Linked DNA regions of Ovis aries. The protein of the gene in region 3 interacts with the protein of the main gene of each other region in a pairwise test. Links are inferred from orthologs where the notes say so. Each region holds a gene or a part of one and is shown on either strand. Other genes may lie near its edges.

Region 1 (3,003 bases), on a different chromosome or scaffold from region 3:
GAAGACTGCCCGAAAAGGGCAAGAAAGAGGAAGAGAAGGTTCGGGAAGACATTGTAAAATACAAAGGCTTTTGGTCAGTGACAGCAAGCATAGCAGGGTGAGGAGAAGTCAGAAGTGAATGAAGCCTGTGGACATCTGACTGTGAGAACTGAAGCTGGCTGGTAACACCCAAGCCTCGATGTTTCTTTGCTGGAGAGACAGTAAACCTACCAGAACATTCAGACACATGGGGTGAGGCTGTTTTAAAATAACCCAAACTGTGTAGTTCCAAAAATGGGATTCTGACTTAGTTAGAGACATCTGGACTCCTTGGCCTCTACCAGACCAGGTCTGCAAAAACAGATCAACAAAAACAAGGATTCAAGTGACCTCACCAGTAAAGACCATTCACTTGTAGGTAAGTGGATGAATAGTAATTAAACTGTTTAGAAGTCATCTATGTTTTAGGGTAGGCTTTGCTATGATGCCTTATCTGAGTGACTGCTTTAAAAAATTAGCTTGTATGAAACAACCCATGTGTATCTGAGAGACATAAGGTTGGTAGAATCTTGCTGCTTCTGATGAATTAAAAAAACACATTTGTTCTGTTACCTACAAATGAGCACTTTATTATCAAACAGTTCAGCATCAGAACAAGGTTTCTAATTCCAAAAGAGGTTTCTTCGCATAGTAGTATCTTGTTGGGAAATACACATTAGGAGCCTGACGCTGCAGCCTACATCCTGTTCCAGTTTCTCATTCGCAGCTGGGTAACTTGATTGAAAAAGTATAAATTTACCTCATTCTTGCTAGTGCTGCCCATGAAATGTATTAGTTCCTTTTTGGCTGCTACTTTTATCATCACACTGGGCCAAGTTAAAAGACCTGTTTTGTGGTGACATAAAAATCAACTACAAGAGAAAACCATTTTTACTTATGGAGGCAAATCTCTTAACACAAAAGTAAAAGGACATTATGCAATTATGTAAGGCAAATGAGCCCAGGAATAACACTCACTCAAAGTATTTCATACTCAGTGATTTCATATGAGAAATAATGACTCAGAGTAAAACAATTAAAATTAGCCCTTGGATCTTCAACAATTTAACTGCCAAGGCCTTTTGTGAATTCTAATTAATGCTCTAAATTAGCCACTATTCCTCAGAACAATGTACCATAAGAATAGGAAACTCAGTTGTTTTACATTTGTTTTACCTAAGTTATTCCTTCATCCAGTGTCCCATAAATAAAAAGCTGTTCAGGCATGATTAAAACTGATAATAAGTTGAGTGCCTACTATATGCAAGGCACTGTGCTGGATGCTGAAAGTGAGCTAGTGACAGCATTCCTGGTCAAGCTTATCCGTGTGGTACCAGCCTGTTGAATATGCAAATTTGGCCAGAATAGCATACACTTAGACCCCTGTACCAAAAGTCTCCAACTTAAGTGACTCGTAAGAGGAAATGGTAAATACAGTAAGACATTTCAATTTTTTTCCCCTTGAGCTTAGTTCCATCTGAACAGAGCACTTAATGCCTTCTCTTGTAGACAGTGGATTTCAGAAGGTGGGGAAGACTCACCACCATCCCCTTGTTTTGACAGAACATTTTCAGCCCAAATGTAGCTCATCATCAACACTATTAAGGAGAAGTTATTCTCTGGCTGTTGCAGGGAGAGTGGAAACACTAGAAATTCTTTCCTGCAGGTGAGGGTCAGTTTTTAAAGGCTCCAACTCTGCTTGCTTTGCTGATGAAGTTCTTCAAGAGATCATGGTCCATTTCTGCAAAGCCCGAAGTCTGTGTTACTACAGTCAAATGGTTTATGCAAAACCTGAAGCAGAATTCTTCTAAGTCCTAGGGACGACAACAGAAACGTTTTAGCAAATTCGCATACCCTGATGCAATGCAACATAGCACAAAAATTCCTAAAACACACAGGTGAGGAAAGAAGATTTGATGGCCAACAGAAAGAATTGCTGGGACAGCGGTACCTAAAGAATAGCTGTAAAACTATACAGCTGATATGAGTCTATGCTTGTAAAAATGTAAATAACAGGAAAGCATTCAAGTTCATCCACAGTAACCAATGCAAAAAAGTTGAGACTTTTTCTTCCCAGAGATAGGCACTGATGGGCATTGTTCATTCCTCTTTCACTACTTATTCAGAGTACAACACTCTTTTTTGTTTGTGTAATAAATATTTCTTTATTGTGTGAATGCATAGAGTAAATTGATTAAGAGATTTTCTTTATGTTCAGCCCAACACTCCTCTTTTATATTCTTATGGGGCTTAAATAGTTCTACCTGTAAAGAATTTGTGAGGAAAGCTTATGCTATGAAAGAGTCATCTGGGGAACTGCTTCTCTGAAGTCATGAACAGACCACTGCTCTCTTCTCCTTCACAAGAAGACAAGGCTGGGATGGTTAGGCTTCATCGGATCATACAGAGCTTCAGTACTCTGAAGTGGGAAAGTGCTTGGAAGAAATCACAACTTTCTGCTGAGAGAAACTCCAGTTTGGTGATTTCTGGCTTACTGTAATGTACGCCAGGCCAAAAAAAAAAAGTCCCATAGTGATTCCCTTGATAAGATCTGCAAACTTGAGACTCAGAAATCAGGCGGCTGGACACACTTCTGGCCCCAGAGAACTGAGAGCGCGAGGCAGGCCGGCCTGTGGAGACCCAGGGCCTTGGGCCCTGGCCTGCATAGCCTCCAGTGTCTCCTTCATGGCTGTGCTCGGCTCTCCTTGGTGAGACCTCCCTTCCTTCCTCGACCACAATCGAAACCTTCAGATTTCATCTCAGTCTGGCCTCCCTCCTCCCACTGCCCTTCCCTAACTTTTTTATATCACTTATCACCACCTAACAGAACACATATTGTATTAGTTTATCTACTGCCCTCACCACCAGAAAGTTCCATGAGGGCAGAGCTTTTGGTCTGTTTTGTTCACTTCTTGTACCCTCGAGTGCCTAGAATGGTGTCAGGCATTTAATGGGCACTCGGTGGACATCTGCTGAGCCAGTGCA
Region 2 (3,656 bases), on a different chromosome or scaffold from region 3:
CTGGACTAGACAAAGTTTGGGAGTTTTATCCAGAAATCTTAGTAAGAACTTTGACACATATTTTATAATAGAAACACATTTTGAAAAGCCACGTACCTTTTCACCCTCGTTGTTTGATTCAAATATGTAACAGACTGATGACAAGTTACTTTCACTTCTCCCTCCTGATGTCCGAAGAACAAATCCAAAAAGCCTCTTATTTTCCTGATGTGTAGCATACAGAACTACACTGGGTAATGGAAACTGCACAGAAAACATCAGAAGCAAACGTGAGATTTTTTCAGATCATTGTAACAGCGCTTCTATATATGACAAATGCATGTACTTAGTTATTAAATAACATAAACAGAACATTAGAGTCAATCATTTTTCTTAACGGAATGGTAATCCAAGAACAAACAATCTCACATTTGGTTTGGATTGCCAGGAACGTTAAAAGGTTGTTGAATACTGAATTTATTAGTCATTAACACATTTTACAAAGTCAAATTCAGTAACAAATATGATCTCTGTTATTAAATGATTAAATAAGCACACACCTGCAGCTATTTCAAAATAGATAATTATAAAATAAACTCAACCATGTTGGCCTTTTAATTCCTTAATTTGTTAGTTTCTTTGTTAGTCACTCAGTCATGTCCAACTCTTTGTGACCCCATGGACTGTAGCCCACTAGGCTGCTCTGTCCATGGGATTTTCCAGGCAAGGATACTGGAGTGGGTTGCCAGTTCCTTCTCGGGGGATCTTTCTGACCAAGGGATCTTCCTGATCCAGGAATCAAACCAGGGTCTCCTGCACTGTAGGCAGACGCTTTACTATCTGAGCTACCTTCTTTAGGGTATGCTATATGCTCCCTAACTGACGGATAAATATGAATACTAAATATCACATCAGACTGCACTGATTCTTTCAACTACATGGGATGTTACAACTTTTTTTGGAGAGATGGCCATAAACTCAATTATAGCCACCTAAAAATCAATCATAATTCATGCTTCCATATCCAAATATTCAGTCACGATTATCAGATGTGTAAGATGTGTATATGTACAAAAAGACTTAAAGCTTTAAACATGCAGAACTCACCGTGAGCCTTGTAACTTGTGTCTGTGGATCAATTAACCTATAATAATAAATAAAATTTAGGGAAAAAATGTTAATTATGCTACAATTATATAAATATTTTTTCCCACAGTTTTTTGAGGGACAGGTTACTACTTACTTTAAACAATCACAAGTGACTAATAAATGTGATTCTGTCATACGAAAGATGTTATGGATGGCCCGGGCAGCTAAAATTTGGCGCATTGTTTCATAAACAACATCTGGATTGTCATCTGATTTCACCTCCATAGAACCAAGGAATCGGACAATAAACAACTGATGAAGAATAGACTCTACAACAAAACAAGGTACATTATGTAATTTTAAATCCCACATTCTTTTCCTATGGAATTAAATACACTGCCCTCTTTAGGTTTTCCAGTGAAATATTCTGAAGCACTCAGAAATAACTCCTAACTACAGTGTTCATGTTACAGAAAAAGTAAGATCTCAAATTCCAAGAGCAAAAGATTATGCTTCAGCAACTGGTGGTTCTGAGTTAAAAGAATTCCTTTTACTATTCTGACAGCTTTACTGTTAGTTTGAAATTATATCAAAGTAAATAAGTATGGGAAAAAGAAAAAAAAAAATTATGCTCCAGAACCAGAAGAAAACAGCTGTTAGGAAGGTCAAAGGATATCTTACACAATGAGAACCTGACTATGAGGTCGAAAGTATGAGATTCTATAATTTTGTGTGAATAACGAAATCTTAAGTCTGAGTAAGTTCTGTTGCTTTAAGTGCACTAGGAGTAAAAAGAAAAAACTGAAGGAAAGATACGGTTAAAACACACAGCAGAACAAATGTAAACAACAAATTCTTCTCTCAGTTTACTGCTCTGAGAATCTCTGAAATATAAGAACACTACACTTATTTTACCTTCAGTTTCAGACTTTGTACCTCCTCCAGATTCTCCAAATGGATTTGTACGCCTGAAAAGTATTTTAAAAAATTATGATCCAGTGGTCAGTCACCATGAGCCACAGGGAACCAATCTCAATCACTGAACCCAGAATTAAAAACTAAAGTCAGAAAACCTTGTACACACATTTTTTTAAAGCTCAAAAATATCCCTTCTTGTTAAGGAACACTACTGATGACCAACTTACTTGTTACGAAGGCCCCTGCCCTCACACTAATCGGCTGAACTCAAAGTTGCTATATCTCAGAAAATGTAGACAGACAGGATGTTTAGCCACAAACATAAAAATCAACATTATAATAAACTATGTTGCAAAAGTTCCTGAATTTAAATAAACTAGGACAGAGAAATGGCTAATTTAGCTTCAACTTTAGTTATATGAGAAAAATGTAGGAATTTCCTTGGATTGTGGGGGAAAAAAAAAAAACACAAAAAACCTTTTAGGTCCTCTAAGTATGTGACGCAAATTAACTACAATAATTTGAACATTTTCTAGAATTAGACCTGATTTCTCAAGGCACACGTAACAGAATGCAAGAAGAACCAACTAACCAGAGATGGAAGCAACTTCCTTCCTAAGTGTGCTTGGCTCATGACACACCCACAATAAAGGAAGAAAAGTACAATCCAAAGTAGGATTTATAAGCAAACAGAGAGCTAAGTGGTTCTAAGATAACACTGGCTTTCAGATAACATAAAATTGACCTCCCTAATATGTATCTGACCTATTATATCAAATGCTAAGTATTTTCCTATGATCAAATGTAAATTATTCTTTCTTTGCCTCACTCATGTATACCCAGTTACTACATTATCAACTTATTAAGTGTCCAACCTACTTAATAAACGATTTGCCTGAAGCCATATTTCCCTCATCCATAATCAAAGAAAAATTTTAATGACTTTGACAAGGATTTATCATTATATAAATAAAGATAATTCATTAATAATTCATAGCATGACAATGTCTTAGTACCTTGCTGGAGATTTCTTATTCTAACACAAGATAACATTTTCCAATAAACCTATGGCACATATATATTACTCTTATATATTAAAATATTGTCATGATATCAACTTTATTGTCACAGGACTGTCACCTTTCTTCTGTAATTTTAAGAGTAAATACCTTAGAAGTAGATCTGATAAACCATTCAGAATTGAATATTTCTAAAACTAAATTATCTGAACTCATTTAACTGAGGCAAAAACAGAGAAAAGCCTTCATGATTCCTCTTCAACTATCAAAATTCTGGTAGGTAATTACAGAAAGAAAAACATAGCTGATGCACAAGATATGTGAGAGATGGCTCTCAACTGTAGAACTGGACTCATAAGCCTTACAGCTTTACAGACCTATCACTCACCTGCCTCCCTGGCCAGAGGCTTTTGCCTGGCCAGACTGATCTTCACACACAGGAGAAATAATGTCAAACTGTATAGGGGTATCTGGGGCAACAAGAGAATCTAGAGAGAGGGCAGCCAAATTTGTGGACTCAGATCCTAAGGATCCTGAACTGCTGGTTCGAGCTGTGGGTGGCCGAGATTGTCTAAGCAGAGAAGAAAACAAGAAGGCATTGCATTTAGTTTTTTCTTGCAAATTAAACACTGAAACCATGAGAAAAAATAT
Region 3 (3,656 bases):
CCAACAAATGACAGGTGTTATAAGGCACTAAATAAGTTAATGCGCAGACTATAGGGCCCTGAACCATGACCGCGGGAAGACACAAACTAAGGGGAAACGGCCAACCTTGGCCGTAAGAAACTCCCCGTCCTCCCAGAGCAGCACTTGCAGCTGATGCCTGGTACCCCAGGGAGACCACCGCCCGACCGCCGGCTTCCCAGGAGTCTAACTACGACCGACCTCAGAGACGATGGGCGACAGGAGACCCACCGTCTCACCGTCACTGAATGGCTGGCGGCGGCCAACGCGTCGTGCCTTCAGGCTCAGCCTCACCATCGTTCGTAATCATGTTACGTGTTCTTCCTCGGACAGGCCAACGTCAGTCAGTGACAGAGGAGTCCCTGTTTCCTTCATGTATAGACCCACGACCACTCCACACAAATGGTCAGAAACTGCTCACACTTTCATATTACTTACAGCAAACAACAAAATCTCCTCTATCCTATCTGAAGCAAGCAATTTGCCGTGATGGAAATGGAACAGATAAAGGTATATGCAGAACTTCCCTGGTAGCCCAGTGGCTAATACTCTGCGCTCCCGAGCGAGGGGGGCCCGGGTTCAATCCCTGGTCAGGGAGCTAGAGTTCACACGCCACAGCTGGAGACCCCACGTGCCACAACTAAGGCCCGGCGCAGCCAAGCAAACAAAGAACGCTTTGTTTAAAAAAACCAAAGTGTATGTGATGGGCTGAATAACGGCCCCCAAAGATGTCCACTTCCTCATCCGAGGAGCCCGTGGATCTGTTACCTGACACTCAGAGACTGCTTCACGGATGTGACGGAGAAAACATCTTAGTGGGTGGAGATAAGCCCGTCTCAAGGGGACTTGTGACAAGAGACAAATGCGCAGAGGGAAGGCAGAGCGGCCACACGGGGAAGGAAAGGGGGGACGCGGTGCGATGCAGTCAGGGGTCAAGGACCGCAGTCAGCCCGGAAGCTGACCCAGGCAGGAGGAGGCGAGGGTCTCTGCTGGAGCCCCCGGGGCCGGCCCCGCTGCCCCTGAGCCTGAGCCCTGCAGACTGACTGTGAATTCCTGACCTCCAGGGCTTTAAAGTAAGAGAGACATATGGGTTGAACCTGCTAGCTTTGTGGTAATTTGTAACATTAGCCACGGGAAACTGACACAATGTAGTCAATAGATACTAATTATAAGGGAGTCATTAGGAAGTAGCTCTCTGTGATCTATAATTCACAAGGCATTTTACAGAGACCTACTGTCTCCACTATCAAATCCTAACTGCCCCACCCTCCTCCGCCAGAAGTTAAGCTTCTTACACAAACTTAAGGAGACGCAAAATCCAGTTCGACTCCTGGTTGTGACGAAGCGACCCGGCTTCGCTGCCTTTGCTGCCTGCCCAAGGAGAGGGTAAGGCTTCCTGAGGATACATGTTGCCAACACTTAACAACTAAGAGGAGTGAAGAAGCAGCAAAATGTGACCCATAACTAAGAAGAAAGGAGACTAAAAGGGGCACAGAGCACTGAGAGCCTGGAAATAACAGACCAAGACTTAAGCGTCACGGTCACGAGCAGCCCAGAGAGCTTAAGGGAAACTGTACAAAGTGGATGAAGGGATGGAGCATCTCATCAGTCGCAAGGATGCAAGTAGAAACCGGAGAAGTGATGAGTGCAAAGCTGGAATGAAAACTCGCTGGAGGGGCTTAGTGGTTACGTGGACACAATAGAGAAGACGAGGAAACCCAAAGAAAAGACGAGAAAAACTCCCCACGATAAAGCACACAGTGGGGGAAAAAAGTCAGTAATAAAAAGCACACCCTGGGCACCAGAGTTCTGTGGCACAAACCCAAATGCGCTGATACACACGTAGTCACAGTCTGAAAAGCAAGAAAGAAAGAATTGTTGGAAGAGATGTGAGGCTTTTCAAAAAGGGTTGAAAAGCACTAATTCAACACACTGAAGCCCCAAGGAAGATAATAGACAGAAGGTCACACACAGGTCAACCCACCAAAACCCAAAGTGAAAAGACAGGGGCAACGAAATGACACATTTTAAAGAACTAAGAGGAAAAAATAAAGCATGCACCATTACTGGCAACCTGGACGCCTATGTCCATGGAAAATATCACTAATATAAAACAAAGACGAAACAGAGGCATTTCCAAACAGAAGCCGGGAAAACTCACGCTGCACCACGGGAAACGGTAAAGGAAGTCCTTCAGACTTACAGAAAATGGTTATGAAAAACCATGAAGGGCAGCGAGGAATGGGCAAATATCAAGAAAGATGCAGTCTTAACTTCCTCTGAAGGACAATGGCTATTCGAAGCAAACAGAGCAATGTATTGTGGGATTATAATATACAGAGGAATAAAATATGATAGTAATAATACAAGAGAAAGAAAGAGTAAATAGAATTACAGTATTGTAACATTAAATGTTTCATGGAGTTTTAATACCCTGGTTACTCATGGTAAAGTGTGATGAATTAATTATGCATACTGTAATCTAGAATAACCACTTAAAAATAATATAAAATTGAGAAACTAAACAGCAATAGAGTAATAAAATATAATACAAACAACCCCCCGCACAAAATCTCAATTTCCAAATAAAGAAAAAGAACAGAAAAGGAAAATAGATGAGAATGAAAGATATAGTAAAAATTAACCCCAAGAATATCCCATGTAATATATTGAGTGTAACAAAGAGTCAACACCCCAATTAAATGCAGGTTTACAAAAAGACCCAGCTGTTTACAAGAGACGTGCTTTTAATATAAAGACAGAAACTGAAAATAAAATGATGAAAAAAATGCACATTGCAAACACTAATCATAAGAAAGTCAATGTGTCTAGATTAGCATAAAAAAAAAAACCAAAAAACTGAACTGTGAAAGTATCATCAGTGATAAAGATGGATATTTCATGAAGAACAGACATTAAAGAAGCCCAAAGTTGGTTCCCTGCTTAGACTAACAGGCTTGATAAATCTCCTTTTATCAGTATATACTTTTAGAAGGTCCATGGATCTCCTGTGTGCTTATGAATCTCTACTGAAAGCGCTCTGCAAGGCCACATTGCCTTTAAATCACTGATCCTCTTTACAGCATGTGACCCTGTTACTCGTGCTCACGGGACTCCCGCCGTCACTCACCTGGAACGTCACCTTCTGGTTGATGTCCTGCACTCGGAACTGCTTCAGGAAGCGCTCATCCTCGCTCCAGAAGAGGCGGATGTCGGGGATGTCGTAGAGGATCATGGCCACCCGCTCCAGCCCCAGCCCGAAGGCCCAGCCGATCCGGTCCTGAGCTCCAGCTGCAGCGGGGAGGGGAGACCAGAAAGAGGGTTAAAGGGCACGAGGGGCCACAGGTCCATCCCACTCCTAACACCCGGACAGGACCTCAGCGGGTGCCGACCAGAGGCAAGGTGCATTTACACAGTGAATGTTTATCACCAGCTTATAAAAAATGCCTATCTGAACATGGGTATGAACTATGATACCACTCTTCAATATAGGGACAAATAAGGGTTGTGATGTAAAAAAATAATAATAATAAAATGTGATGTTCAAAGATTGTTAAGGTTAATAGTTTTTAAATATGTTTAAAACATGTTTCTGAACTGTCTTTGCAAATAAAAAATAATAAAGATAGGTGGAATAT

What was found.
Region 1: the proteins of FARS2 (region 3) and RCBTB2 interact in binary tests that used the Homo sapiens proteins (3 or more experiments, as listed by UniProt). The two-hybrid records come from large-scale screens. The link is inferred for Ovis aries from reciprocal best matches to the Homo sapiens genes FARS2 and RCBTB2.
Region 2: the proteins of FARS2 (region 3) and APPL1 interact in binary tests that used the Homo sapiens proteins (3 or more experiments, as listed by UniProt). The two-hybrid records come from large-scale screens. The link is inferred for Ovis aries from reciprocal best matches to the Homo sapiens genes FARS2 and APPL1.

The regions. Positions count from the first base shown.
Region 1 is NC_056063.1:18,580,145-18,583,147, forward strand, and holds the end of RCBTB2 (RCC1 and BTB domain-containing protein 2), read right to left. Parts: intron 1,833-3,003; coding exon 1,692-1,832; 3' UTR 579-1,691; downstream 1-578.
Region 2 is NC_056072.1:43,947,676-43,951,331, forward strand, and holds part of APPL1 (DCC-interacting protein 13-alpha), read right to left. Parts: intron 3,577-3,656; coding exon 3,394-3,576; intron 2,037-3,393; coding exon 1,984-2,036; intron 1,413-1,983; exon of another isoform or gene 1,398-1,412; coding exon 1,223-1,397; exon of another isoform or gene 1,196-1,222; intron 1,124-1,195; coding exon 1,087-1,123; intron 244-1,086; coding exon 97-243; intron 1-96. UniProt on the Homo sapiens protein: Multifunctional adapter protein that binds to various membrane receptors, nuclear factors and signaling proteins to regulate many processes, such as cell proliferation, immune response, endosomal trafficking and cell metabolism.
Region 3 is NC_056073.1:48,397,863-48,401,518, forward strand, and holds part of FARS2 (phenylalanine--tRNA ligase, mitochondrial), read right to left. Parts: intron 3,310-3,656; coding exon 3,149-3,309; intron 1-3,148. UniProt on the Homo sapiens protein: Is responsible for the charging of tRNA(Phe) with phenylalanine in mitochondrial translation.